4 linked regions of the Neodiprion lecontei genome follow. The protein of the gene in region 1 binds, or shares a complex with, the protein of each later gene. Links are inferred from orthologs where the notes say so. Each region holds a gene or a part of one and is shown on either strand. Other genes may lie near its edges.

Evidence for each region.
Region 2: nucleoprotein TPR (region 1) and nuclear pore complex protein Nup205 share a complex: the UniProt entries of both Drosophila melanogaster proteins name them as parts of the nuclear pore complex. The link is inferred for Neodiprion lecontei from reciprocal best matches to the Drosophila melanogaster genes Mgtor and Nup205.
Region 3: nucleoprotein TPR (region 1) and nuclear pore complex protein Nup85 share a complex: the UniProt entries of both Drosophila melanogaster proteins name them as parts of the nuclear pore complex. The link is inferred for Neodiprion lecontei from reciprocal best matches to the Drosophila melanogaster genes Mgtor and Nup75.
Region 4: nucleoprotein TPR (region 1) and nuclear pore complex protein Nup160 homolog share a complex: the UniProt entries of both Drosophila melanogaster proteins name them as parts of the nuclear pore complex. The link is inferred for Neodiprion lecontei from reciprocal best matches to the Drosophila melanogaster genes Mgtor and Nup160.

Annotation. Positions count from the first base shown.
Region 1 is NC_060260.1:31,011,527-31,016,471, forward strand, and holds the start of nucleoprotein TPR, read right to left. Parts: upstream 3,029-4,945; 5' UTR 2,750-3,028; coding exon 2,578-2,749; intron 2,468-2,577; coding exon 2,305-2,467; intron 2,066-2,304; coding exon 1,844-2,065; intron 1,738-1,843; coding exon 1,178-1,737; intron 970-1,177; coding exon 578-969; intron 415-577; coding exon 158-414; intron 52-157; coding exon 1-51. Other genes in the region: uncharacterized protein LOC107221997, read left to right, coding at 3,998-4,945. UniProt on the Drosophila melanogaster protein: Component of the nuclear pore complex (NPC), a complex required for the trafficking across the nuclear envelope. Functions as a scaffolding element in the nuclear phase of the NPC.
Region 2 is NC_060261.1:2,748,796-2,756,520, reverse strand, and holds the start of nuclear pore complex protein Nup205, read right to left. Parts: upstream 6,026-7,725; 5' UTR 5,888-6,025; coding exon 5,878-5,887; intron 5,599-5,877; coding exon 5,435-5,598; intron 5,351-5,434; coding exon 4,934-5,350; intron 4,864-4,933; coding exon 4,572-4,863; intron 4,475-4,571; coding exon 3,752-4,474; intron 3,668-3,751; coding exon 419-3,667; intron 335-418; coding exon 84-334; intron 1-83. Other genes in the region: PAN2-PAN3 deadenylation complex subunit PAN3, read left to right, coding at 6,814-6,906. UniProt on the Drosophila melanogaster protein: Plays a role in the nuclear pore complex (NPC) assembly and maintenance, but with limited role in NPC permeability. Required for specific nuclear import pathways such as Mad import.
Region 3 is NC_060264.1:6,092,375-6,099,558, reverse strand, and holds nuclear pore complex protein Nup85, read right to left. Parts: upstream 5,616-7,184; 5' UTR 5,406-5,615; coding exon 5,376-5,405; intron 5,271-5,375; coding exon 5,165-5,270; intron 5,035-5,164; coding exon 4,693-5,034; intron 4,596-4,692; coding exon 4,216-4,595; intron 4,137-4,215; coding exon 3,817-4,136; intron 3,701-3,816; coding exon 3,483-3,700; intron 3,399-3,482; coding exon 3,171-3,398; intron 3,089-3,170; coding exon 2,989-3,088; intron 2,907-2,988; coding exon 2,696-2,906; 3' UTR 2,150-2,695; intron 1,940-2,149; exon of another isoform or gene 1,719-1,939; intron 1,675-1,718; exon of another isoform or gene 1,362-1,674; intron 1,095-1,361; exon of another isoform or gene 776-1,094; coding exon of another isoform or gene 680-775; intron 599-679; downstream 1-598. Other genes in the region: GTP-binding protein 1, read right to left, coding at 124-304, 487-598, 680-775. UniProt on the Drosophila melanogaster protein: Component of the nuclear pore complex (NPC) that seems to be required for NPC assembly and maintenance. Required for nuclear import of phosphorylated Mad via importin msk.
Region 4 is NC_060263.1:38,145,717-38,153,686, forward strand, and holds the start of nuclear pore complex protein Nup160 homolog, read left to right. Parts: upstream 1-1,959; 5' UTR 1,960-2,097; coding exon 2,098-2,179; intron 2,180-2,494; coding exon 2,495-2,808; intron 2,809-2,901; coding exon 2,902-2,995; intron 2,996-3,067; coding exon 3,068-3,600; intron 3,601-3,745; coding exon 3,746-4,549; intron 4,550-4,687; coding exon 4,688-5,118; intron 5,119-5,275; coding exon 5,276-5,497; intron 5,498-5,617; coding exon 5,618-6,300; intron 6,301-6,386; coding exon 6,387-6,731; intron 6,732-6,832; coding exon 6,833-7,015; intron 7,016-7,126; coding exon 7,127-7,293; intron 7,294-7,420; coding exon 7,421-7,654; intron 7,655-7,816; coding exon 7,817-7,918; 3' UTR 7,919-7,920; exon of another isoform or gene 7,921-7,970. Other genes in the region: solute carrier family 35 member E3, read right to left, coding at 453-521, 596-734, 865-947, 1,033-1,185, 1,272-1,763. UniProt on the Drosophila melanogaster protein: Functions as a component of the nuclear pore complex (NPC). Involved in poly(A)+ RNA transport. Required for nuclear import of Mad. May play a role in double strand break DNA repair. Essential for nephrocyte development.

The sequences.
Region 1 (4,945 bases):
TTTGATTGTCGGTCCTGCGCCGCTTGCATGTCAGATAGTTGTTCTACATACCTGAAATGAGACAATATTTACTTTCGTATACCATTAAATGGGTTCCTTACGTCAAATTACACAGTGGGGTGTAATACATCATTGACTTGCTGTGAAAGTAATGTACCTATCAAGTTTTTCTTTCATCTCCCCAGAATTAATTTCATCAGTTGCCTTTTCAATTTCTTCTTGTCTTGCAGATAATGTTCTGACAATTGATAACAATTTTTGATTGTTTTCCTGTAATTCTTCAATATCTCTAAAGGTAACCAACTTTTTGCTGATAATTTGAGAAGATGCTAGGTCGTCAGACTCCATTATTGTGGAAGAGAGGACTGTCGAACCTCCACGACTCTCCTGGACTTCTTTAAGAAGGAAACAGACCTGGAATGATGAAAAATAACTCTACTAACATGATCATACGACTGTACAGGTATTCCTATGAGATATTTGTCACATGATAATTTTTTTTTTTTTTTGTACTGAGTAGTGTTTGAGACATAACAAATGTAAATGAAGAAATCTAAATTAAAATATATAGAAATACCTGTCTAGCAAGATCCGCAAGCTCTGTCTTTAGCCGTTTATTTTCCCGAACATGGTGGTTAGCAATGCGCGAAGCCTCATCTGCAGATTCTTGCAAACGATGATTTTCAGCAAGAAGGTCATCAAGACGCGAAGTGAGCATTGTAACATTGGCAACTGCGGCTTCGTAATCGTCACGCTGTTGTTGCAGTACCGGTGCCTTATCTTCAAGTTCACGGAGTATTATATTCATTTGTGACTTTAATCGCTCATTTTCTTCTTTCTCAATTGCCAGTTCGTTGGTAGCATCAACCAATTGGGTATAAATTTGGGTCAGGCTGGAGCCTTTTTTCAACAGCCTACTTGCTACTGCTGCTGTTGGAGCCAGTTGCTCCACTGCGTGGTCTAACATTTCTATGGAGCACATAGTAAATAATTAAGTCAAAACGTTCTTAGCATGCTTACCTTTAATATATCATATGGATGTCTGGTAATTCATCGAGCAACTTTCATGGATTAAGCTGATCAAGAAAAAGTATTCAAAAGTATGATCTAAACGCAATTGTTTTCACATCTAGCCTTAAATTTGATCGAAATTAGATATCCAACTTTAAAACTATACCTTGTTTGGCGTCCTTCAGTAAATCATTCGCTCGTTCCAGCTCTTTTACAAGCTCCTCGATTTTTTGTGACTTTTCAGCGACCTCTTCATCAATTCGTATTTGTAGATCATTGTGCTGTGTTTCAAGCACACCGTACTGCTCTGTGGCTTGTTCAAGCAGGGATTGTAGTTCTTTAACAGCTGAACTAAATTCTTCAGCCTTGGCATTAGCTTCATCTGCCATTCCCTTATAAAGATCAGCTAGTCTAGTTTGAGCGTTAACTTCCTCACGATAAGAAGCATGCATTGAAAGCTCATGAGCTCTTTGTTCTTCTAATTTTTGTGCCATTTCATCACAGCGTTTGATGATGAGGGAATTTCCTTCGCGGAGTTTACTAATCTCATCATTAGCTATTCGCAGTTCTTCCTCACGCTGTGAAAGTTGGGTTTCTGTCAACAGTGATCTCTTGGACGATTCAGTACGAACATTTTGCAGTTCTCCAGTGCGCCTTGATAGCTCTTCTTCTAAATTGGCCATCTGTTGAGATAAAAGGGTTCGCTCTTTCTCCAGACGCTGTTCCCTGTGAATAAATGTATTTACAAATTTCCAACAAGGATTTATATTTCTCTGTTAGAATACTTGAAACCTATGGATAACTTGAGTTAACAAATACAATATCTACTGACTTGTAATCTAAAGACATCTCGCGACTGCGGATCTCTTCAGTGTCAGCCAGAGCCTGACATTTGGCAGTCACCGCTGTCTGCAGCTGAGTACTGAGCATTTGCAGCTCGGCATGTGTACGCTCAAGTTCTGCATCTCGACGTTCAACCTGTAGTTGTAATGCATCTCTTTCATCTGTGGCTACATCCCGTTGACGTCTCAGCTCTCCGTTATCCTTTTCTAATCTATATAAAATGGATCAGTAACAGAATACTAAAATTTAGATGCGAAATATCTATTGTTTCAAAGGAATTCGAAGTCAATTAATTTGTTAGGCAACTCGTTATAGCCATTTTCTTTCACAGAAAAAACAACATATGCACATATATGTACTACCTGGAATTTAAGAAATGAATTGCCTGATCGTACATTTCTTGAAATGTAAACCTAGAGCTAGGAAGAAGCACACTAAAGATATTTGTACCTTCTAAGTGATTCTTGTAATCTTGTTGCTTCAGACCTAGTTTCATCAACTTTGGTTTGAAGTTCATTTGTATATTTGTTGGCCAGTTCCAGTTTGCCTTTACATTCTTCCAAATCCAGTTTCTGCTCATTGTAATCCTTTTGTAGAGTCTCTAATTTTTGTTCTGGCAGATGAAGAAAGCAAAATTGGATGGTTAAACAGACATCAGTGAACAGTTTGAAGGGAGTTTTGAAACGGTAAATATCGGAGGCAGAAAAGTAACGCTAATCTTACCGAGATTTTTTCTGGCAGTCTCAAAAACAGCTTTAGCAGTGATAAATTCTTCGAACCGTTCATCGAAATACGATTTCAACTTTTCGCTGACACCCTTTGGAATATGTGTAAGTTCTTCTTCATTCAATATGCTGCCTAGCACGTTGTGTGGGTTTTCTTCTATTGTTTCCATATCGTTTTTGCCGATAATTCACAAATTTTAATATGTATCCGCGTCTCTTTTTCGTGCAGATTCTACAATCTTCACCGGCGTTTGCGGTTGTCGGTTGATTTGTGAAGAAAATGGTGCCAGATATACAGATTTAGGATTATTACCAACTTAAAATCATCGGCCGTCACGGTAGCATAACGGTGGGTAAAAGTAAAAAGTAACGTTATTGGTTAGTTCGTTGAGAACAGGTCTGACATTGGTCGACTTCCGTAATTATGCAGCCAGTGCTACCGTGATTGCTGCAGTCTTAGACCATATACTACTGGAGTTAGCTACCCATGCCGTCAAACTCGCAAATACTATGGCCGTGGCGATGAGAGAGCGCGACATATATCCACGTGTTACCCTGGATACTCCGTTTCTCTCACTCTGCATTTGATTGGCTGAGAGGAAACGCATTGGCCAACCAGGTTGTGAAGCGAGGGAGATAGGTAGTACATGGCATTGATAAACTATCTCACTCTCTCACTATACTTTCAGTACACGCGAGGCTACCTTGAGTAGTATATGCTATAAGGCTGCAGTTCACAAACAACTGTATCTCGAAGTAAAGGAAAAGATCAATGCTAGATGAGCATAAGCTACTCAAAAGCTACTGATAACAGGATACCAATTTTGAGTTTCACTCGCTCTATCAGATTGTAGGGTAGCCCTTCCATAGCCTCATTCTGCACGGATTTTCATCGCTGACAGCAATTTTCAGGTTAGGTATATACGCAATCGGAATTATACATTCCCGGGTTTTTTCGAGTCTGGGTAAGCAGCGGGAGATCGATGTCGCTGTCTGTCGTCCAGCCAACAGTTGGCGTTCCCGATAAGTTCTGTTAGGGGTTCTGTGCTCCGAAAACTACCGACCACGTGGATTAATACGTTGTCAATTGCGCCGCAGGTAATGCGGAAAATGTTTTTAAATATGGATACACATGTCGGAATAAAATTGTTAATTCATCGCCAATGTTATCTTTAATGATACTTTATTAAATTCCAGCACTTTACAGTTGCATTTCATTTCTAATATTCCGAGCAGACTGCTTGTTTAACCTCGAATAATGTGTAACAGGATTGAAGTAGCGTGCTATTTCGTTTCGATTTTTCTACCTTGACGACTATTATTTAAAAATTGGTTATGTCGTTACAAGTTGATATGAATTATATGTAATTTCAGGTACCCTTCGGCTGTGTTGTTTCTTTGCTTGAAGATTATCCAACATGACTAGATTTACCAGAGCCAAGGGCTCCAAAGCATCCAATGAACGTGTTCCTGATGAGGCTACACCATGGAGTATAATGAAAATGCAGCTTGAAGACAGTCAAACTGCATCCAAAGCTGTCACGAAAAAGCCAAAAACTGCTACTGAGTTACTTGCAGAGAAGGATAACCGATTATATTATGATACATTTGGGAATGTGAATCATGAATGGGCAGCATTTGACAACGTTCCAGAGTTACAATCCAAGAAAAATAAAATTGACAAATTACACGATATCAAAGGCAGCAAAAACAATAAAAATCAGAAGGCTGTTGAGGTACAGGGCTTAAATGATAACTCTTTTAAAGATCAAGTTCTTGCAATTCCAGTGAAAATAAAAAACAAAAAGCAGAGTAACATTCAAGCTAGTAGTGATGAGATCAAAAATTCTAGTACTACTGGTCAAGTTAAACCAAAATCAGCTAAGAAAAAAAAACTTAATGTAACTGGAAACGAAACAGAAATGGCTGCAAAGATAACTGATATGTCAAAAAGTTCAGACATAAAGAACAAAGCTATCAATTCAACTCCTGGTGATACTCTGCTAGAGGCCAAGTCTAATTCTGTTGCGGTAGAAGACCTGTGTTCGAAATATAAGCAATGTAAGAAATGGAAAAAGAAATCCAAGAAAGCGAACCCTGATTCTGATATTGGTCAAGCGGCAATCGATTTGTTGCAGCAAAATCAGAAAGCTGAGTTATTGAACAGTGATTGTGCAGTGAAAGATAGCATTACTGAAGCCCAGGAAGAAGGATGTTCAGAAAAGTTGAGTAAACGCCAAAAAAGAAATAAAAAAAAACAGAAGAAAATAACTAGCACCAATCTTGAGAACCAAAATCAAGCTACTACTGTAGACACACAGAAGAATCATAGTGCTGAAGGCTTTGATGTACAAGGAAATGAATGG
Region 2 (7,725 bases), on another chromosome or scaffold:
AAGCGAATAAAGAAAATCAGAATTTTGAACACAGTTCAATCTTCAATCAATGTAAATGAGTTGCGTCGGTAAGTTTGACATACTTGATTACGAGTGTACAGCATAACGTTGGCAGCAATTTGTATTGCGCACGAATGTTGTTGGGTAGCTTCCATTTGTTGATGTAGAGGTACGACGGGAGGCAGTTGTGGCTGAAATCTGGAGACCATGGAGAGCATCAAACGTTGGAGCCTATAAAGATGGGCTCGCAATTCTCTCATGCCTGTACTATCTTCAGATTTGTGTTCGTTAGAGTTGGCTCTGGCCAATTCCTCGTCAACAAGTTTATACATGTCTGAAAAAGAAGAGAATTAAATATTTGCATAGAATAAAATAGAAATAAAATCATGAAAAAATCAATTGAATGAGAGATGCCTACCAATGTTGGCAGACCTTGCGATGACCCCGGTGAGACTGGCGACTTCTTTGAGGAACAGAACATTAGAATGAGGTGATGCATTCCGTAAAACCATTTCAACGGTATCTCGATGACTCTGTAAAAATCCGCAAACTTGTATGGCACAAGACTGATTTTCCGTTCCAAGGGTAGTCAGCAAAGCATCGCACAAATAAAGTGCAGGTAAAAAGATTTGCTGATACCGCTGACCTATGGAAGGCACAAAGGATATATCTCCACCTTCAAAGCCCACATTTACGTCAGGATGCTGATCGAAAACACACATGCTTGATAAGCAAGATAGGACTTTATTTTCCAGAAGACATTCGGCACCCAGTCTGGTCGACGCCATTCTGCAGAGCGTTGCCATTTTTGATTCGTATAAATACAGGGGCCGCAGAGTGAGTGGATCTGGTTGAAGCATTGTTCGCAATAAATTGTCAGAATCCAGAAGACTGTCTACCATGTGTTTAAGGTACCCTCTGCTAGCCAGATATGTGACCCACGTATTGCTGCAATCGAATTCTAAAATTTTGTCGAGGCACGATAATGACAGCATTTTACAGACGTCGTGTCCACCGGAACAATCGTGGGACAATATATCCATCAACTTGTTACCGTAACTACTGATCACTTGTATCGTCGCATATCGATGCGAACGCTCCTGTAGCGGCGTACTTCTATAATACGAACTATCTAACTGACTAACATACATGGAATCCATGTTGGTCACAACTTCCGATCTTTCCAAACTGACTACACAGAGGAAATTGAGAAGTGCCCCATAAAGATGGGTTCGAACTTTTTGTGAGGATACACCAGAATTTAAGATCCATTGAAGAATATGACTAAGGATAATCTTCATCATTGTTGTATTTGCAGCGGAAGACGGTAGCAGCTCATCGTCAGATTGCATGGAGAAGCTATTACGAAGGTTTACTAGTAGTACGAGCACGGTTCCAGATACAAGTGTTTTGATTTCGTTCAAAGCTTCGCAAGACGTCATCTTCTGCAGTAAATCATGTGACAAATTTAGCAGAAGATTTTGCCTCTGAGCAGCGGGAAGTTGCTGGTTCGTTGCGACAGAGAATAAAATTTCAGTTGTTTGACACCAGCCCTCGACGAACTTCACAGTAGCGTAAGAAAGGGTTTTCGTTTGATTTCGTTTCAAGGCGTATGCAAGGATAGATTGCAGCTCCTGTTGCACAAGCTTACGCTGAGTCGCAGTTGCGCTAGTTTGCGTACCAGCCAATTCTTCTGTTATAAGATTGTGAAGTTTTCTGATATCTATAAGCTGGGGACTTCCACCAAGTGGAACTGGAATGCTGCAGCGTCCCAACACCATTTCAATTTGAGACGGATCAAAGTATTCCCAGGACTTTGGAGGATCTAGATTTAACTGGAAATCGATATAGTGAAGTAGATCCATCAGGAGTTTTTGGGATGGCACAATTTGATCTCTGTCATGGATTAGATTGCCGACTAGTCTTTGAATCAGGGAGTTCTGAAGGCTGCCACCAGCGACGCGCAATTCAATTGCCGATATTTTTAGCAGCCAGGACATGCAGGCAAGCTCAGTCGCTCTGTTCGCTCCCTGGAATGGCAGCTTGGAAAGATGACGTTGTACGAAATCTTGATTGGTGGCTGTCCGAAGGAACCGAAGTACGGAAACAGAGGTTTTGTTATTTGAAGCCAGTATGTGAAGGAACCAGTAGCAAGCCTCTGTAATCTTGTCACGGCCACGCTCCAACGATAATTCCAATATCCCGAGTATAGAGTGCAGACAAGTCCTCGGAAAGCCTAGTATTCCAGGTTGTTGAATTGCAGTTTTTCTTATGTCCTTAGTGATGTCGAATCCAAGTAGGTAATGAGCTATGTTAGGCGCAGGGCGTGTTATGCTCTGCATCAAGAGGGACAAAATCCTGCCCTTGCAATTACCGCTTCGTTTTTCATTCCCAATTTCTTCCTCAGACTCAAAGTTTTCGTCAGAATCCAGACACTCTACGAAACCATGCCTGATCGTCGTTGCCAACGAAGGAGTAGACGTGAATGTAGAAAGTAACTCTGAATCTGCTCCAGGTTCGTTGGCGACGCCTTGAACAATGCCAACTGACACAAAGGCGTGTTGAGTGAGCCATGAGTTGTAGGATATGTATTTAACGATGTTAATCATGTGGTCTGGTTTTCCCGTGCGAGGATTTACACCTAGCAAAAGGCGGGATAGCCCTGTTAAAATTCTGTTGGTTGAGCTGGCTGCAGCCAATTGAACCATGTAATGATATTGGGCTGCCAATCCATGCTCCAATATCTGCAAACAGTGCAAAGTGCTGCTTTCGAGGCTTGTTTTACCAGGAAAATCGTCGTAAGTATCCAAAAGATGGCATCCTTCGTCAAGTATGAGCAGAATGACGTGTAGAAACTCGGAATTTGAGTGTAGCAACGTTATCAAATGGTGTCCAGGAGGAGGATTGACGACAGTCGATTCACCGCCTTGTAGTTCTATTTTACATCCGATAAAGTCTTCGATAGTTGGCTCATACTGTGTTATCAATTTAATGAATATTTTCAGACAGGCATCGGACACGTCCCACTTTTCCCCAGGATTTTTATACGACCGTGTGTTGAACCGCAAAAATACGGAATTTATTATGAAATGTAAGTACGGATCGAAGCCTGGATTTCTTAGGCCAACACCCAGAAGTCGAGGTATCGGAAAATCAGTAAGGACATCTAGAAGCTCCAACATTGCTCTGGTCAAAGGAAATTCCTCGTTTCTAGATTCAATTTCTTCTAATTCCGTTTGAATTCCTCTCGGTTGGTAGCTGCTGGTCGTTGGTACGGTACTCAGTATTTGCGCAGCTTCCAAACTTTGCCATATGGTAGATGAACTCTCCGGAGATTTTGCCAGAGCTGCGAGCGTTCTGACTAACGCACCTTTTAATGGAATCGGCATAGCACAGCCCACCAAACCAATAATAGAAGGCAAGACGTTCCAGCCTGGATGCTCGCATATCGCTATTCGAGAAACTTCATCGTAGTAAGCAACAACCCGAACGACTAGAAGCACAGCTTCCAAGCCTTTGACCTCGTGAGGTGTGATACCTTTGGGATGATTTCTTTGACGGTATACCGTGTCTTGTGAAGGTGGGAGTTCTTGTCGCAAATTAAAATAGTAGCGACTCAAGGAGTTGAAGAAATGATCCCAGGAAATGGTCGTTGCCCCCGAAGGTCCTGAAAAAATTAAATGCAGTAATAACACAAGATTACCTCTTATTAATAGACTTTCAAATCAAGTTATCAAGCCGTACAGCTTACCATTAAGTTTCAGAAAGTTGAATGCTTGCCTAGCCGCTGGTAGGGAAGAAGCAAGTGATGCTAGCATTCTTAGGTAGGGTCCAAATAGCCCGCTGGGCAATACTTCTCCGGCGACTCTGACAAATTTGAACAGAGCAACTTGCCTTGGAGGTAATCGGCTCGCATGCAAAGTGCTCGGCATATGAGAGGAGTCGGAATGTTGACACCAATAATCCATTGCAAGGTTCAAATTGAGGGGATCCTTTTTGTACAGTTCAGCGACAGACAGCATGAGGTACTCAAAATGGTTGTCAAGGTTCATGGGAGGTTCGATGCCTTCTTGTTGATAGGCTTGAACGATACGCATTGATTCGTCGGCTCTATTTCTCAACTCTTTCACCTTCAAAGGCATGAGTAGTATAAAATCAGAGATGAGTGTGTGAATGTAACGAACATAGAATTCCTCATTGTGGATGTGAGAGCTTTGAAGTAGAACTTCAGCCAAAAAATGAAAAGCCTTGTTTGCCAGAGCAGCTTCCACCAAAATTTCATCCTCTTCGGTGATATTTTGTGTAGGACACAGATTGGGTGCAGATTTTATAGTTGCTATGGCAATAGCTAGCGCAAACTGAATCAAACCACGAAGTCCGGCACTTTCCCAATTTACATTACCAGAAGTTAGCTCGGTTACGAGCTGTGGCAACATGTCAGGATCGTCAATAAGCGGCATTGCTTTAACAATTGCTGAAATTTGAAAAAAAAAAGAAAGTAAATCATCGTTCGACAGTCAAGGAATAATATGCAATTATCTGGATAAGGCTACTTATTATCGTAGACATACTTTCACCGTCCTCTCTGGTGTGAAGTGAGCTGAGATTTATAGAATTGAGCAAAGCCATAATCAATGCCAACGTGACTTTATCAGGGCCACCAGTCCCATCCTCAGCCTCCGGATGACGATTGTGAAGTAACGACAAAAGTCTGTGAGTGATGTGACTGGGCAAAGCTGACTGAGCTGACCAAAGGTATAAAATATCGGCAAGATCCTGCCTGGCACCGTTATAAAGACGCATGACCATGTGATGATGCTTGGCTCCTCCTAAGCCTCTGTTTTGCTGCAACAGTTCTTGTTCCTAAAAGAAGAATCTACTTATAATAGCGCCAAGTTAAATCTTGTGCTATTACCAAATACAAATTTTTTACCTTCGTCGGATCCATATCCTCCAAAAGGTTCAGGATCCTGTCCAGCAGGCCGTCTTCCTGCATTTTGTTGGTATACTCCGTAATTTGCTTGGTAAGCGTAACGGGTGTGTCGAGAACCCAAGTATGACCATTTCTGGCTTGAACCAAAGTCCTCAATGTTGAGGTGAGAGCTTTCTTCCCGTCATAGTACAGAAGGACAGCAGTTAGGCCTCGTGTCAATCCAGGATGATGCGGCATTTGAAGTTGAGCAGTACAGAGTAAGTCAAGAGCCATAAATTCATTTAGTTCGTACATGTCGGATAATATAATTGTCTCGTCAACCAATTCTTTGGACAAAACCTGGTGACCTAGTCCAGGCAGAGTTATACCCTCCGTCACTGCATTTTTAATTTCCTCACGACTCTTTGCATTCTTTGCCTAGAATGAGGATATGATAAACTTAGCACATGGCAATCAAGGTCTCCAAGTCGCAGCTACTACATGTTGAAATATTATGCTTACAGGATTGCTTAGGAGATTTAGAAAATTCTGTCGGTGATTGCGAAGCGCTTCCATAAATTCATGGTATTGTGGATCGTGGGAACTGGGTGCAGAGGTAATATATTGATCGACGAGACTCTGGAGTTCCTTGTAAGGAGTCCACATGTCCTCCGTACTTGTCTTTTCTGTAATAGTAAATGGTGTCGATGTGACAAAACTTAACCTAGGAAAATTCAAATTCACGCTAAAACGAATTATCAACCGAAACGTGAATTGTATCACTGAACAAGCATACAAAATATGAAGGTAAATACAACCACGTATTTTGACAGACAATTGATCATAAACGTTGTTGCATTTGTACCGGTGATGAAGTTGGGTAAAACTAGGTTATGTCACGTTACAACCGGGAGAAGAGTTCCAGTAATTAATGTAGAATAAGTTAGACGCATACGCAGACCTACCTTCAGTCATCCTTGCGCTATTTAAACTAAACTCAGAAGGTCAAATTCAACAATCACTGAAGAAAGAGACAAACACTCATTCGTGAATTGGCGGTTGGCGCTGATTTGTAAAACCGCGTGAACATGGCTGCGTTCATGATACATGGTCGCGAGCGAGCAGTGGTCGCCAACTTAAAAAAGGTAAATAATTGATCAATGCCACCCACTTAAAAAAAAAAGAACCTTCTTCATCAATGGAACTCGGTTGGGTCCAAGCGTCATTGGATTTCACCACTACGTTACTCAATCCGATCGCTAAATGCAGTTTGGATCAAATTTATAACAAAAAAATGCGCCAAACTTCAACCAAATATATATTTGTAGCGCTTTTTTGATTTATGTTGCTATTTTCGTTGGCCACTCGACGAAAAAACGTCATTACTCGATGTGTTCCGAGACTCGTCAATGCGAATAATAGGCGATAAATGCAACGATTTATCAGCTCCACGCAATCAAAAACGATGATTCGTTCGATTTTAAATTTCCAAAATGAAAAATAACGATCGACAAGCTCGTGGTTGAATATAAAATTTGATAAAAGATACCGGAAATGGCCGAGGTCTAAATTGTATTTCGAAAAATAAAGTATATACGTATGCGAAGCACGACTTCCGGAAGGACAGCTGCGATCGAAGTAAGAGCAGCAAGTTGTCCGTGAGTGTAGACAAGTGTAGCATAAAAACACAGTGAGATCGGTATCACGGAGTACGCTTTCACCTTTGTCTGCGGGAAGGAAAAATGTTTTGAACGGTCAGTACTAAAGTATATTAATCTAAGCTTGAAAGAATCTCATTTATTTGTTTTTTTTAATAACCCAAACGCCGTCCGTCGCAAAGCGTCTGGAGCGTCTGTTTTATTTTCGCGCCGTCCTCAGACGCGACGTCACTGACAACTCGGATGGGTTATGTTGGTCCACCATATCTTCGATGTTTTTATAGACTTCGGTTCTACATTTTGGAAAAAATTTTCGCCTCGCGTCGCGTTTTTGAGGTGCTCAGTTATGTTTAAACTTTTACAATTTTTTTTCGTAAAAAGACGAACTTTTTTTTAACGTTGTTGAAAACCAAAATTAACCACTTTTGTCGCGATTCTGTGTGTGCATTGTCAAAATCAGCTGCTTCATTGTTAGTTTATTACTACATTGTTCGAATCAAATCCTGCTGCATTTTCTTGACCCCCCTCAATTTTTAGAGGCAACAAGTATATCACACACTTGTGTACATATTCTCCATGTTGTTGTCTCTAGTCTGATATAGCGAAGGCTAGAATTACACACTAGGTTCAAAAGTTCTGTGATTTATATTCTTTTTTCTTACTTTTCCTTAACTTCAATAGAATACAAATTCCATTTATTAATGCTTTTTCTACCCTGAACGATATTCTATTTTCAGGAAAACCATCAACTTTCACTGTTGCCTTATGTTAAATTCAAGCATCGATGTTTTCGATAACACAGGTTCTACTACTGTACCTTTAATCGTCTCACCTTTACGCGCAACAATTACTGAATATAAAACAAATTTGCATGTTTTTATATTTCTCTTTCTGCACCGTTCTGAACAGATTCGTTTGGTTTTTTTTATTCAACGATTAATTAAGTCACAAAGTAGACAAACTTGTTCTAATGATCACCGTTCATTTTCAGGGTTTACAAGTCGAACATATTGGAAAAAAATAGAAGCAGCACTGTTAAAGAATAAAAAAATAAAAAATAAAAAAAAAGAACAAAAAAAAAACGAAAAGAGAAACTTGAAATTATCCTGAGAAATTTTAGAAAAATGGAGTAAAAGAAAGACTGGATATGAGATT
Region 3 (7,184 bases), on another chromosome or scaffold:
TACTTTCAGCATTTAGAAATCGACAGAGAAATAAGTTTGATTTACTGCAAAATGACAGGAACTCTGTTGGCATTACATAAGAATGATTTTAAATGAGGAGAAGTGAGGCAACTGTTTTTATACCTTATTTCAAGAAAATCTTGTTGGTCTAAGCGTCTTCTGACCAAATATTGTCCTATGAGTCCCAGATCCACTTTTCGTTGCCTCAGCAGAACACAGTCTGCTTCCAAAGTTGCTGCCAGAGACTGCAGAGTGGCTACAGATGCATCGTACTCATCCTCTTTCAGACCATTCTCAGAACCATCTACTCGGAAAAACAGTATATAGTTCAGAGAAAGAAGAGATGTTTTTCGGGGCGCACTAACAATGTTTCTAGTATTCTTACTACCGACAACCATATTTTCTTTTTAAAAATGGCCTGAGAGTATTTATGAAGACCTCTATGAAAGTAAAGGAAGCAGTAAACAGAAATTTTCTAAGACGCACCTTCCCCAACACCGATGTCAAATATCGTCTCACTTCCGCCATCCTGAATTCTTTCTCTTAGTCGTCTCAGTAGCAATTCGTACTGATCCTCTGTTGGACTAACAAGGACATCCTGCAAGTTTGAGCAAAATTAACTCTGTACGACATCAAGATATCTTGAATTTGAACATTTTCTTTATACAAGGTAAAATACCTTTCCCCTGATGCTAGCATAGTCCATTGCAGAAGTAGGAAAACTTTCCTTTGCCAGTATGGGCATTGTTGAAGTAGTCGATGTTGCCGACGTCATATTGGATGTCAGTAACTCTGACGAGTTTGGTGCTTATTAATTTTTATTATTCTTAATTTATTGTGAAACACGTTTTTCTTTGATTAAACACTTTTTCAATTCCCAACAGCAGTAGAATTTCCTAATATGCGAACGCCTATGCCAAATATTTTCCAATATTTAAATCCAAAGAGCCTTCGGTAAAAAACCATTGAGGGCACACTCATTACTATCTTAACAGGAATCGCTAAATGATGAAAGAGCTCTGTAAGTTGTCATCCCCACTGGAGTTTGCGTCAGATATACTTTTCAATTTAATTTGAAATTTCAATTGTTATGTCTGTAATGAAACACAAAAATGTCGGTGAAAATTTTTTTTACTTATATCAGTGATCAATTTGATATGGTTGATTGTTTTTATTATTATTCGAATTCTTTACGAGTATCGTGTTATGATGTAAACATTTCTTTCAAGTATAGTTAGCATTGTGTGTGATGTCATTACACCACTTCCTACAGTACAATACGTGACCGATAAGAAAGGTGATATCTTGTGGAATGAATATTTGAAACGTCAGTGAAAAGTTACATCATGTAGTTTTTATACCTGCATTTTTATGGCAGAGTTTGGTCCACTCGTTGGTCTCCACACACATTAAAATACTACTTACGGAATTTGTTAATCGAGAACACTAGGAAATAAATTGATATCGAAAATATGTACATCAGGTATTGTGGTCATTGTAAAATTTTTATTATTGAATGAGACTACTACCATCACTGATATAACATGTTGCAAACCAGTAATCAAAGTTATTAATTTTCGTGAAATGTCTAAACTTACATCAACATTATTTCACATATTCATATCTATGCCTATTTCTATAAATAAACATATTGTAGGGCTGCCAATGATCACCTATTCATGAAATACAAAACGGTGTAAAAATAAACAAGTGTTCACCTGTCATTATTATATGTTGTTAAAATTTTGTAATACATAAGCTTCTCTATAACGAAAAAGTAAACACTCACAAGAATTATCGAAAGTTAACAGAAAGTTGGCAGAATTATTTCATGTTGTCGGATTGGAGGCTGTCACTGCACATGAAGTTTGTTGCTAGGTACACATCAGGTGATTACACAAATTTGCAGCATGTCGTGCAACTACTTAAAAAGTCTTCGTTCACGGAGCCACGATGGCGCCACATTGCAGTTTTTTAACCAATGATGTCACTTTCCCGATCGGCCACCTTGCGCCGGAAAAATGAAACCATATATCTGGTATAAATTACGTATTAAATAATTCAAATTCAAAAAAAAATAAGTAAGTAATTAATACTTCGCTGAATATAGTTGCAGAAAACTTTCGTTTGAGTTAAACGTGTTTTTTACGTAAGAGCAAACTTCAGAGCTTCATACGGTTACTTCGTACATCTAACCAAAATAACCTTGTATAGTACAGCTTCACGTACTAGTTGCTTTTTGTGAATTTACATTAATTTTGGATTAATTATGATGCGGTTGACCTCAGCCAAGCTACTGAATACACATCCACACAACATAACGGTGCATGAGGATATACAGACAGGGAATGGTATCATTTTTAACATTTCTTTAATTAAAATTCGATGAAATAATGTTACAAAACTATATCTTACAAATGAACTAAAATACTGGAACATCCAGGGAGAGTACCTATTTCGCACGTGCATTTATTGAGGCTTATCTCAAAAATGGCAGTGATTGAGCTCTCAGCTGTATAGACGGCAAATATCCGATATTGTTTTCCTTTGACCTTTGTTTAAAGAGTCAAATACCTGCTTTCAACAAATGAATATCTGACTACTCAGACCGAATTTAATGATAAAATTTATTTAGAACCGAGTTTTCGACATAAGTTGTCAGGTTTCATTTTCGATTTGTCGTTACGAATATATATCAATGATCCCCTAAGCAGCCTTCTATATTCAACGCTCGTGCCAAGTTTCTTGCCGCTGCTAGTCGGAAAAGGTCGATTTTGTCTTGAAATTTCGGATCGTTGCCGTGTTCTTCAACAGTTTGTAGTAGTTCGAAAGTATCCTTAGATGAGAGTACAGCATCCTCTGCTTCCAGAAGCGGAATTGCATCCGTTAGAAGAATCGACCAGAAGCTGAAACGATTTGCAAATTTATTAATCACATAAACACTTTTCCGTTAGGGGGATTAGAAATTAGTCAAGTTGAGTCACTTACTATTTCGGAGTTAAATTAGAGACCAGTAACGAGACCAGCAAGGCAGCAGCATCTTTAAATTCACCTAGTCCATACGTTTGATGAAATTCACAATACTTTCCTGAAACAGGACGAAATTTTGATATTTGGCTTTCGATGTAGTTTTCGAAAACTTTGATAGACAATCAACTGTTGTACAGTACTATACAAACCAAGAAACGTAAGTCTGTCGCTGATCAGCATACAGCTTCCTAAATTCTCTAGAAGGTCTTGACACTCGAGTTCTCCGTGTTTGGCATAGTTTTTTAGAAATTGGTCCGCTATAAAAGTAGCAAACGCACCATCTTGTGCCTTTAATGCCCAGGCAAGTGCATTTCCTAGCCGTCCTTGTCTAATACACTTCATTCCTTGTATTTTGGAAACGCTGGTTACTAAAATTATATCATGAAAGATTATTCAATTTATTGAGGTCTGAAATAATGCGAAAATTGCGAGTTTATTTTCTTTATACGTACCAACATTGGTCATATGCTTTTGACGAGCAATCTCGATAATTTTATTCACTCGTGCTTCACTACCCAGTGGAATGGACTCTAACAATGCCTGCAATCTAGTTAATCCTTGAGCAGGACAGTGTTCAAAGTAGCTAGCGCCACACTGCCACAGTGAATGATGACCCATCAAAGTACTGGCATAGTCTAATATCAATGATTCATGAAGCTGTGAGGTAACACTGAAAAAACGTAATTTTATTTTACCATTGGATTTCACGTACCTTGTATGAAAATCACCAAATACAAGTATCCTGGAAAATAAATGTAATCCCATAAGAAATCAAGTCAAACTTACTTTATTTGATGCTTGTCTATGATGTCTAGCCTTCCACAGTTGTACAACAAGTTGATCAGATGTGCTGCAAACCATCCATTGTCGCTCATATGCTGAATTTCCTTGATTACTTGATGCAAATCACTTTCCATTAGAGCTAAGATTACATGATCCAAATACCTGCCTGCACGCCACTTTTCTGCAATATGATTTGCATGTCTAGCAAGTTCTGGCTGTTTGCTACAGGGCGCAGAGTAAAATAAACGTGCAGCCAATAACTCATACCATGCTTCCGTGTATTTTGAAAACTCCCAAAGAACAAGTTCTTCGCCAACGATAAGCTGTTGATAAAAAAAAACACAAAAATAAAAACTAATGTTCTTATCTGTGCTTCCAGCCGGAGACAAATTGAAATCTCACCCTCATTAGTAACTCTAAATTTCGGTCTGTAGAAAATGTTTTGCTTTCAATTTGCGAAGAGAGGTCAAATTGCCAATGCTTCCATCTCATGTTAAATTCGTTTACAGAATATCCCCCATATACATTGTAAACAGGCATTGTCCTTATAGCATTTTCAGCAGTGCCAAAAGCAGGATTATCTGCCTTGCTGTGCATAGCTAACAATGAACGAACGGTATCGAGTTTACCGTGCAAAGCGCATCCTATCGCTGCTTCCCAGTACTGTACATTATCCAAATCGGCAGCAAGACTTTTCTTTGCAAGTATTTTAGAGGCCATTAATTCTCTAGATGGAAAGTGAAATCTCACCCACTCCAACAGCTGTGGAAGTATCACATCTCCTACAAAGAAATTAGGGCATGTATGTAGTTATGTCATAAATATTAATTGGAAAATAAAAAAAGTTTGAATTAATTTTGACTGCGCTATTAGCAATACCTGGGACGACATTAACATAAAGGATCTCTGTCAGGTGCCAAACACACTCGACATTGTAAAAAATAGTCAAGTAATTTTCAAAAGTCGGTTTTTTGTCTGGCGTTGACTTTTCAACAACATCTTGCAGATTTTCTACACAGGCTCTTAATATGGACCTGTAGTGTTTGCTGTACTTCAAAAGCTCAGGTCTAAGGTCTTCAGTGGAATTTTTAATCTTCTGTATCGCAAGAAACACTCCATTGCTCTCATTGACTAGTTTGCGAAGCGCCGGCTCGAACAAAATCACTTCTTGTCGTAAGCAATGAACTTTAACCTCACAGGGTGCAAGACTGCTTGGAACATCTGCAAACGAGCCGATGGAAATATTAATTAGCATTTTCACTATAGACAAAAAATAAACCGTATACATCTGAGTCATCGATGTTGCAGAAAACAGTTTCTGTGCGGTACCCGCTAAAAAACGTAACCTCACCTTTCGAGTGTGCATTAATATGCTTGTACGCGTGAACTCCGATTTTATTTTGGCCGATCCAGGTCGCAGCCAGGCCTGCTCTTCTGCAAACGTCGTCTGGTATAGCCTGTAAGTAATATATTTGACAAAATAGCAATATATATCAGGATTGTTCCGTGAACAAAACCCGGTGTAAGTCCGCATGGGCCAATAAGTATATTGAGGTGCTTACAATTATTTGAGCGTTGCTGACTTCTGCCATGACTGAACGTGAGCTTTAGTTCACCGGTTGTTTTTGAATTTAGTACATAAATTCATCAACGAAATCGGTAACCTAATTGTTACTCACGATCATCTTTTCACAACTCAAAACGAATTTTAACGTTCAAAGCAGGAAGGTAACCATTCCGGTTTCACTGACATCTATGATTTATCGGACAAATTGAAAGTTTATAACTGTTTTACCGACGGATGACATAAGGCCTTGAATGAGTGTATCGCATCTGATTTAAATAAGATGACAAGAACGCAATAAAGTTCGTCAACAACAGTAACAATGGTTTGTAGTTTGTCAGTTTTGCGATAGTATCGAGTATAATAGCCGAGTATCGCAATTGGTGCGTTCTTATCAGTCAGTATAGAGTTTCGTAAGAGCCGTGATAGCTCTTTACGTAACGGTAATTCTAATACAATCAGAACTCTGAGCCGGCTCGGTATCAGCTCATTCGCTCTTTGCATGCCCGTGCGCTAGCGACTGACTGATATACTGGAAAATGGCTACCACCTCAGCTGTAACACGACTTCTGTTCGGCCGCCGATTGCCACAAGTTGTTAGAAATTTACCCCAGCTTACATCAACCAAGTTTTATTCATGTGAGTAACTAAATCGTCGATTATCAGACATTTGATAACATTCCTAACCCTTACAGTTATAGACCTATAATTGAATGCTGTGAAGTGAGTTGATTATTTGTGGGGACGTGGAACGATAATAATTCATAAGATTTTCACTCACGCTGTCGAAAAAAAAAAGATTAAACCACTAATCATTGTCAGACATTTCTTACTGGTCCAAACTTTAAGATGTGTAGTAATTGCTAACTAATTTCTTATTCTGAAGACGTTCAAACTAACAATAAGCATCAGGCTGTGTGCATATGATCTGCACATGTTTACGCGATTTAATCAATTGATTCGTCGTAGTTATAAAATCTTTACAATCGTAGAAATAGTGCTGCAAGTAGCAGTTACACTGAATATTGCTTAATCTGTCTTATGCAGGTTTCTACCCGGCATTTAAAAGTTCTTTCAAAGTTCGGAATTCACTCTAAACGAATAAAGCAATATTATGGAAGCCATATTCCAATCATGACTCGTCTTATTCTTGTTCATGTGTATGCAATACGTATGTCACCTTGTTAATTTCAATATTATGCCTTGTCAGGTCAATTAAGATAACCAATGTGGTAAGACTGCGTGATTTACAATGTAGTATAAAATTTGACAAAGCCGCAGTAGAAATCCTTATGGAGTTGTAAAGATACATCTGATTCTGTATTATCTATTGATTTTCAAGTGTACAAGTCACATTATTTCTAACATTGACCGAAGTTTCCAATCATAGCTTCAACCAACTCGAAAGATTAGTCGGAAACAACGATTCTGATTAGAATTGACCAATCACATTACAACCGGCCCTGAACCTCTGAATCTACTCGAAACTCGCTTACGAGGTGTAATGAACTCTGTGAAAAGATAACAAAACATTAACTATAATACACGGGTGTAATCAAAAGCTGGTTGAAAGATTCATGCCCTTGCAGTTAGCCGACGAGGGAGCGAGTTTATGAGAGACATTGCGATCGTTTAAACTAATTGCTTTTATTGTTAGCGAGCTCGGGTCGCCGCGCGCAGTCGAAAATTTGGCTGCAGCCGCTGCAGCGTCGGTGCGTGCAGAGTGCGACTTTATCGAGCGATCGCCGCGCGACCTTTCGAGCTCCTGGTTGAAGGCTGCGATCGTAGTAGAGCTGCGGCGTCGCCG
Region 4 (7,970 bases), on another chromosome or scaffold:
CTACATTCAGTATATAAGCCCAAATTGCAGCTAAACCGTCGGGTCCGATTTACCTGGGATAAAAGCTAATAAATCAATATAATTTGACAGTTTCATTACATTTCTTTGAATACTGCACTCAGTGTTCAGCCCTAGGTATGACTTCGACCTGCTTTTGCAATAATTTTTAATTTTAATGCTATTGGCGAACAGAACACACTTTTTTTCACCCAGTTTAAATATATTTGAGAAAATAGGGTGAAGGAAAAAAAATTTGATTGGTCCTAGGTGGGGAAAATTGTATTCAAAGAATTCAGAACAGATTGGACATATTTTGAAACTTCTGTTATATCATCATCATAAAAGATCTATTTGTTCAATATTCTTAGGTTTCAGTAAGGGAAATATTAAATAAATAATAAAATCGGCACATTGTATCACAATTTTCTTTTTATTATTTTTCTGTTCAAGTGCTACGTCTTATAAAGTGGCTTGCCTTCTTCCAATGTCAAACGTGAAATATTCGATATGCCGTCTTTCATCTGTAAACAAAAAGACCATATTTGATTAAATTTCACACCGTAAATTTACCAGCACGGTGAAAACACATACTTGCCTTGACTCGAGCATATAATACAATTCCAATCAACGTCAGAGTAATTCCGATAGCCTGATTCAGTGCAAGTGATTCGTGGAATATAATAGCGCCACCAAGTAAAAGAAGGCAAAATTTTGAATGTCCAACCATATTATAACTGGAAAACTTTATGTAAGAACATATTGAGAATTGCTGTGCGCATGGCAAATAAATTGGGTAGATAATAATTTTTCATCGAATTAAAAAATTTCATTTAAAATAACAATTCCTTGTTTGAATAAGGATACGTTAATGGTGATGTGTATCCTATTATCCAGTACGATGTTAAGTTCACAAAAAATGCTACGACGCTCGATAGCAGCACCATCAGCTGTGGAAATAAAAAAATTATCCCTTTAGTTAGCAAATGTTTAAACTTTAGTATTGAAAAGTAGTCAAAGTGTCTTTCAACTTACAATATCTGTAAATGTCCAGCTATGCTGGAGGGTGTTACCAATGGGTTCCAGAAATGGTACGATCACAAACAGCATTGCTGCAGATAACGGTGCTTGATAATAAAGGAGCTGCATAGGATCCATTTGGAATTCCTTTTGCTTTCTGCTGACCCACTGGAAAAAATGTGCAAAACCATGAGCTTCAAGTATGAAACAGGTTACGGAATTCATCATAAAGCAGTGAGAGTTATCCTACTTACAACTTGATACAGAGATGTAACAATAACACCTAGAGTAGCGTAAATAGTCCCAAGAATATTAAACCTAATGTCGTAATAAAAGTTGATGACAACTCCAGCTATGATGGGTATTAATGTTAGTTTAACAAGCAAACCGAATTTCTTTTTATAACATATTGCCTGCATAACAACGACGCAGGGGGTTGTAAGCATTTTAGTAACTTGATAAGTGCCGATCGTGTTGTGTTCCAGACTCAGATTAGTAAGGACAACAAACCCACAGAAAGTTAGGGCGATAGGTACCATTTCTTTAATGGCAACATCTTTTATACAAAATACATCCAATTTTTCACAAATGATTAGCCCAAGAAATGTTATTGCAAAGTGTATCATGGACAGGGTGACATTTGGAAATCCAATCCTCACGTACACCATTTTATTTAACAATACAATAAGTATTGAAAAAAATATATTTAGTACTAAGCAGAGAAATGTTAATACTCTTTTGTTCATTTTCTCAGACTATTATTGAGATCTTTATGGCGCGATAAATATTCTCTGACATTTACGTCACCGGTTACAGGTTAGGTTGAGCATCTTTACTTCATCCAAGTTAGGGTTATGTATTCAATTGTATATGTTTTGTCGAACACTGCTGCCATCTACCGGGGTTTCCATGACGACGAAACTCCCCTCGAGCTGCGCGCCAATTGATCTGAAAACCCGCGCGCGGAAATTTTAGCAACTAAAAGCGTCTTTTTTGGGCATGAAGATTGGGCTAAAGGTTTTTCAAATATTATTCCTTAATATGGTTAATATCTGAAAGAAACTTATAGCAACCGACAACATGGAGTTCCCTCTTGGTTACAGGGAAGTTATACCCGATCAAACATTACCGGAGAAGTGGAAAGAAATCGTGATAAATGCTGGTGAGATAACCTAACCTCTATCACACAAACTTCCGATGAAGAATTATTTTTCGCATTCCTTGTATGAACCGATTAATAATTACGCTCGATAAGACATGTATGACATTCAAACACTCCGTTTATCTCCTATTTATACGGACACGTATTTTTCCTTTTATGTTTTACGTCCCAACAAATGTTATACCTCATTACTATTGTTGATACTCTGATGATGAGCATTATTGCATTCAATAAAAATTCGTACAGTATAACTGTCACAACCCTTAATTTTTTTTTCTGGTTCAATACTATTCAGTAACTCTTCGCTTATTACAGGCGGTAGTCAAAGTACTTTACAAGATATAAAAGTCCCTGAGAGAGCGGGCGGATACTCTTACAAAGACAGCACTAAGCATTTTACAAGAAATCGTTTCATCTACTGGCGCATATCCCACGACGTTCTTGAACTTGTCGAGCACAGTCTAGATGTGAATCTTGCCAACTGTAAAGTAAGATACAAATTTACGGACCGGCCACTCTTGGATGGAATTTCTATACATGAGACAGTTAACTCTGTTGTGATATTAGTGGTCACTGTATCCAGTGTTCACAAACTCACTTTTCCGCATCCAGATAAAATACATCGACAGGTAGGACCAATATTTTGTCACACACTTAATTTTAATCTTCTTTTTCTGATACCTTAAAATCTTCAGTTTTTTTCATTTTCATATCCTTTGCAGGAACATGTATTGGGCTCTCACTCGGACCTTAGTGTTCCATCAATCCTTAACGATGCATCGAAAAATATTGTTAATGCCAATACAGGGACAACGAGTAAGCTGACATTTGTACTTACCAATATTATAATGTTTGAAAATATTCATTTGAAATGTTTCTCTATTCTAGACACATCAGTGCCACATGCAGCAGCCTCATGGCTGACTTTACCTCAAGAAGAAGCATTGTTTGCGCTCGCATACAGCACTGGAAACATTTTATTAATCCGTCTTGATACAATGACTGGGCTTACTCATACAACTGAATTGAAACAAGATTCAATTGTTCCCCGATTTCTGTCCGGCATCGCGACTGCTTTTAGAGGCCGTAATTCTGAAGGACACGTCCCAATGTCGCTTGTCCTACATTCGTATGGTCACGAAATGTACCTTTTCGCTCTATGTCGGGAAGGAAATGTCAGGATGTGGGCCTGCAGTAAAGCCCAGTGTGTGGCAGTTGCAGATATTGCCATGGACAGCAGAGTTCCTTTGCAGGGAGTGCAAGGACACATTTTGAAAAAAACAGTTGGAGTCAATGACAACGAACTTTATTTGGGAACATTTTTAAAATTTGGAACTGGATGCGAGTTTAGCATCCTTAAACCACTGCAGGATGCTGGACTCTTCAAATTTGTCAGGATTTGTACTTTATTTGCGCCAGATGTAAGTATACAATCGTTGTTGCAAATTTCAAACTTTTTCAAGATGAAGAATTTCACGCGCCACTTGAACATCTATTGGTGAATTAGTTAGTTTTTCCAATTCATTATTGCCATTTAAACATAACACCCTAATCGTTATTGTGTAGCAACATTTGGTCGATTTTTCCTTCACACCAACTCGACTGTGGGCAGTGTGGCGAACGACAGACATGGACACAGTAGCCGTGACACATGCAAGGCTACCATTGAATGGTGCACAAGTAAACTCTGAATGGGAAACTGCAGTGCTAGTGCAACCACCAGACAGAGATTACATCGTGAGTGATCCTGGAACAGATCCAAGGCAGGCATACATTGGCTATATTTTTCATCCTGGTCAATTTCCGTTAGCGGACATAACTCGTGCCTTGAGCATTTATCGACGCTCTAACATTATAACAGACACGTCGCTGTCTCCTGCAGTTCTGAAGGAACGTGTGTGTATGGCAGTAGAAGCTCAAATTCAAGCAGAAGTAATGGATTACGAGCTTTCAGATGATGACTATTTAGAGATAGCCAATCGCTGCTGGTCCAAATTCTATTCCTGTGTAATTCAATACTACGCCAATGGTACAAAACCTGTTGGGTTGTTGTTATTACCAAATGTATATGGGGCAGTTTTGCTGAAAAAGTCAGCGTTTTCCCTGTTACGGCCAATGGAGGCGCTTGAACATTTAATGTTATGCAATGACAAATCATATGTGCAAAGATTCAGTACTACACCAGTCTTGTCCCAAGATGAAGATACTTGTCAAAATTTAATCACATTGATGTCCGCATTAGTTTTGCTCGACAATCAATTGACTGAGGATTTGAAAAGTGGAATTGAACGCGAACTATATCATTTACGCAGTCCAGACATTATTATTGAAGATTTGTTATGCAAACAAGTACTAGAGACTGAAGACCCTGTGAGTAGTTCTATTTAAGCTTTTGTAACACTACCTAAAGCCCATTTTATTTATTATCTTTACCAAGTGAAGAGAATTGAGACTTACTCTGCGAAGTTCTTAAGTATAACGTCACCTAAGCCATTTGTTTAATTCCAGTTATCCGATTACGATTTTCAATCGGAATTAAATCGTAAAATAGAGAACACCAATGACATCTCACAAGCGATGGCTATGCTGGTAGAAGCACTGACTTATGATCTTGGTCAACCAAGTAAATTGCAGCTCGATGAGGTGCAGGAAGCCTCTCGAATCCTGCTGAATGTCAGTCACTTGTTCAGCAGCCAGTTAGGAATGTCAGCCATAACTGAAAGCGTATCGCAAATTACTCAGCTCAGATTTTCAATCTGTAGAAATCTGCTGATCCTACAACAATTAGTTTTGAAGCGGCCTGAAGCATTTGATCCAAGGTCCTTACACTCCATAAATTCTTCACTGGCACCTAGAACGGTTGTTCTAACACAAGCGTATTATGCAGTTATGTGGATTTGTGAATCAACCGCCAGTTCGTCACCAACTCAAACTTTACTGTAAGTGCAAATTTTTATGTAACTAGAGATTCTAGCAGAATCTAGTCTTTTCGTTTGCTTCAAAGTCAATTTCTTCTATGCTACATCATCCAATCCATTCGTACCTAGCATTTATGAAACCATGTGTGAAATTAATATATTTCAATTTGAATTTCAGAGACACCAGTATTCAGCATCTAAGCCTTTTAAAGCTTTCAGATTCCGGAGTAAATATTGTTCAGAGACAACAGAGATCATTGTCTCTTTTAGAATTGTTTATGCATAGCGGAGGTGCAAAACATGCCCACACTTTGATGGCTCATACGATAACTGATACGTGTGGCCTTGTACCATGGCATGAAAGTATGCTAACACATGTTACTCTGATGGCTCAGTTCGTGTATCCTTTCAACAAAGAGTTTTCTGAGAAAATAACTTCTAATCACACTATGAAACATATGATACATTAATGAAATCCAATGAATCACGTTAGTTCTTTTTCCTTGACTTTTCAAAACAGTTGGCCAATATCAGGAAATTTTATTTTTCCCGAATGGCTTTTATCAAGCTGTCAGCATTTGCTTGTTCAAGAGTACGTTAGAATGTTAAGTACTTGGTGCGAATGGAACAGTGCCTCTCGCAAATTTATCATGGCAGTGTCTTTGCTTGAAATGGGTGAAACACACAAGGCCTGTGATCAATTCCTTGGAGCGTGCAACGGAATTTTGACAGACACATTTTTGGCCAGCACCTTACTAGATGCCTGTATAGTGTCTGAAAGTAGCATGCGAGTTAATTACTTCTTGAAGGTGATCCAGCTGTTTGAACATCATAATGCCGCAGATTGTATAATAGAGCTGGCAGAAACTGCAATCACAATAGCTGAAGATGACAACCCAAATTTGCCCACGCTCCATTCAATCGTATTTAGACAACATCTGAATCTCGAACATCATACAGAAGCATATCATTGGCTTAATTCTAACCCAGATCCTTCCCGAAAAGTTGACTGCTTGAGGCAACTAGTAGCAACATTATTTGAGAGGAACAAATTACTGGAATTAGTTACATTTCCTTATGTCGAGATGTACGAAGATCTGGAAAGAATTATTGAAGGCAGGGCACGGAGTATGGATCTTATGGAAAATAATTACTATAATTTTCTCTATAGCTTCCATATAAATAAGGGAAACATGCGAAAAGGTACGATTCATTAGTATCAAGTGAAAATACATTCTTGCTCCCATTTGTGCATCATTTCATTTCGTAATGTATACATATTTTTTCAGCTGCTTCAGTGATGTACGAACAAGGCATGCGACTAGGACAGGAATCCCATTCTCCTGCAATTATACTAAAACAGTCTCGATGTTTGTTGGCTTGTATCAATGCACTGCATCTTGTAAAGGAAAGATATAGATGGATTGTGCGCCCTGTGGCTGATCAAAGGCAATCGGGGGAAACTGATCCCGTAAAAAAACGGAGTATAGATGGCAGGGAAGTTTTGCATTATAAAGTGAAGAAACAAGTAGAAGTGTTAGAATTGAAAGAGATCAAAGATGAGTATTACATCGTTACAGCAAGATTAAAATTAGCCAAATTAAGTCCGGAGTTACAAACAATCGCACGTGCTGGTGAGTTTTCTTAAAAATATGTACATCGACTTTCTTTGGATATACTCAATGAATAGTCCACGGTTGAATATTTGATTAATTGTTCTTATACAATTTCATAGGGCCGTCCGAACTTGTCGCAATTTTATCCAATGTTGGTTTGTACACGACTGCTTTACACTTGTGTGACCAATTTAGTTTATCGAAAACTTCTGTACTTGAAAATCTGGCCTCACAATGCGTAACTCTGAGCTATCAAGAAGACATTGACGCTTGGGATTGGCTAATACATAACGAAATTTTTGGTAAGTTAAAATTTATTTGTTTGCTAATTTCACAATGTCTTTTTGTGTATGGAATTATACATTGAGTGTATAAGGTCGACAAATTTCAAGGAATGCATATATTTCTTACAGATAAAGGCGTATCAGATTCGAATGTCACAAATATTGCTTGGAGATTATTGGAGCATCTCACATTGAAACACGAACGGGATAATAGCAGTGAATTGCACAAAGCTGTTACGAAAAATCTACTGCATCACGGTGCCTTTCTTCCACAGTGGCTAATGTCTTCTTACAAAGTAATTTCTCTTCCGAAGTGTTTTTACTCATTGACTATTATTCTTTTCGCAGTGATAAACTGCAGAAAAAATGGACCTAACTATATTAATAGCGAATTAAGTTCATATCCTATATTTTTATTTTCAGGAACGCAATGCGGCAGAAATTCTGAGACTTATTTTAAATTCCGGTCGACTTTTAGAAGCGAATGCAATAGCTCTTGAATACATTGGTGCTGTGTTGGGTAGAGGGAAAGAGTATTTTGGTTTGACAACACCACTGGTAGCTACGTCACCTGCTGTGTGGCTTCCATTGAACACATTAGAATTGCTTCTACTAGAACTTGAACATGCTAGCAAAACAGATCCCATGTATATAGAGGTAGAAACCAATTTTGTTGGAAAATATTTACAAAAATAGTTTTTTCTACCTTCAGCGGTTTTCCGATCTTCTCCTATTATCTTAGAGTTACTTGATCACAGCTGTTGGTAGAGCTGAAGTATACTATTGTTATTGATAGTAAGCTTTTACTTTTCATTTCAGAGCTACGAAGAATTGAAAGAAACCTTAGACTACTACATCGAAACAGTTATCAGAGTTTCAGAAGATATGATACAAATGAAAATAAACAGTCGAGTTGTTTAACAGTAAGTATATTTTCGGAACATTGTAGGATAACAATGATGATCAGTAAATC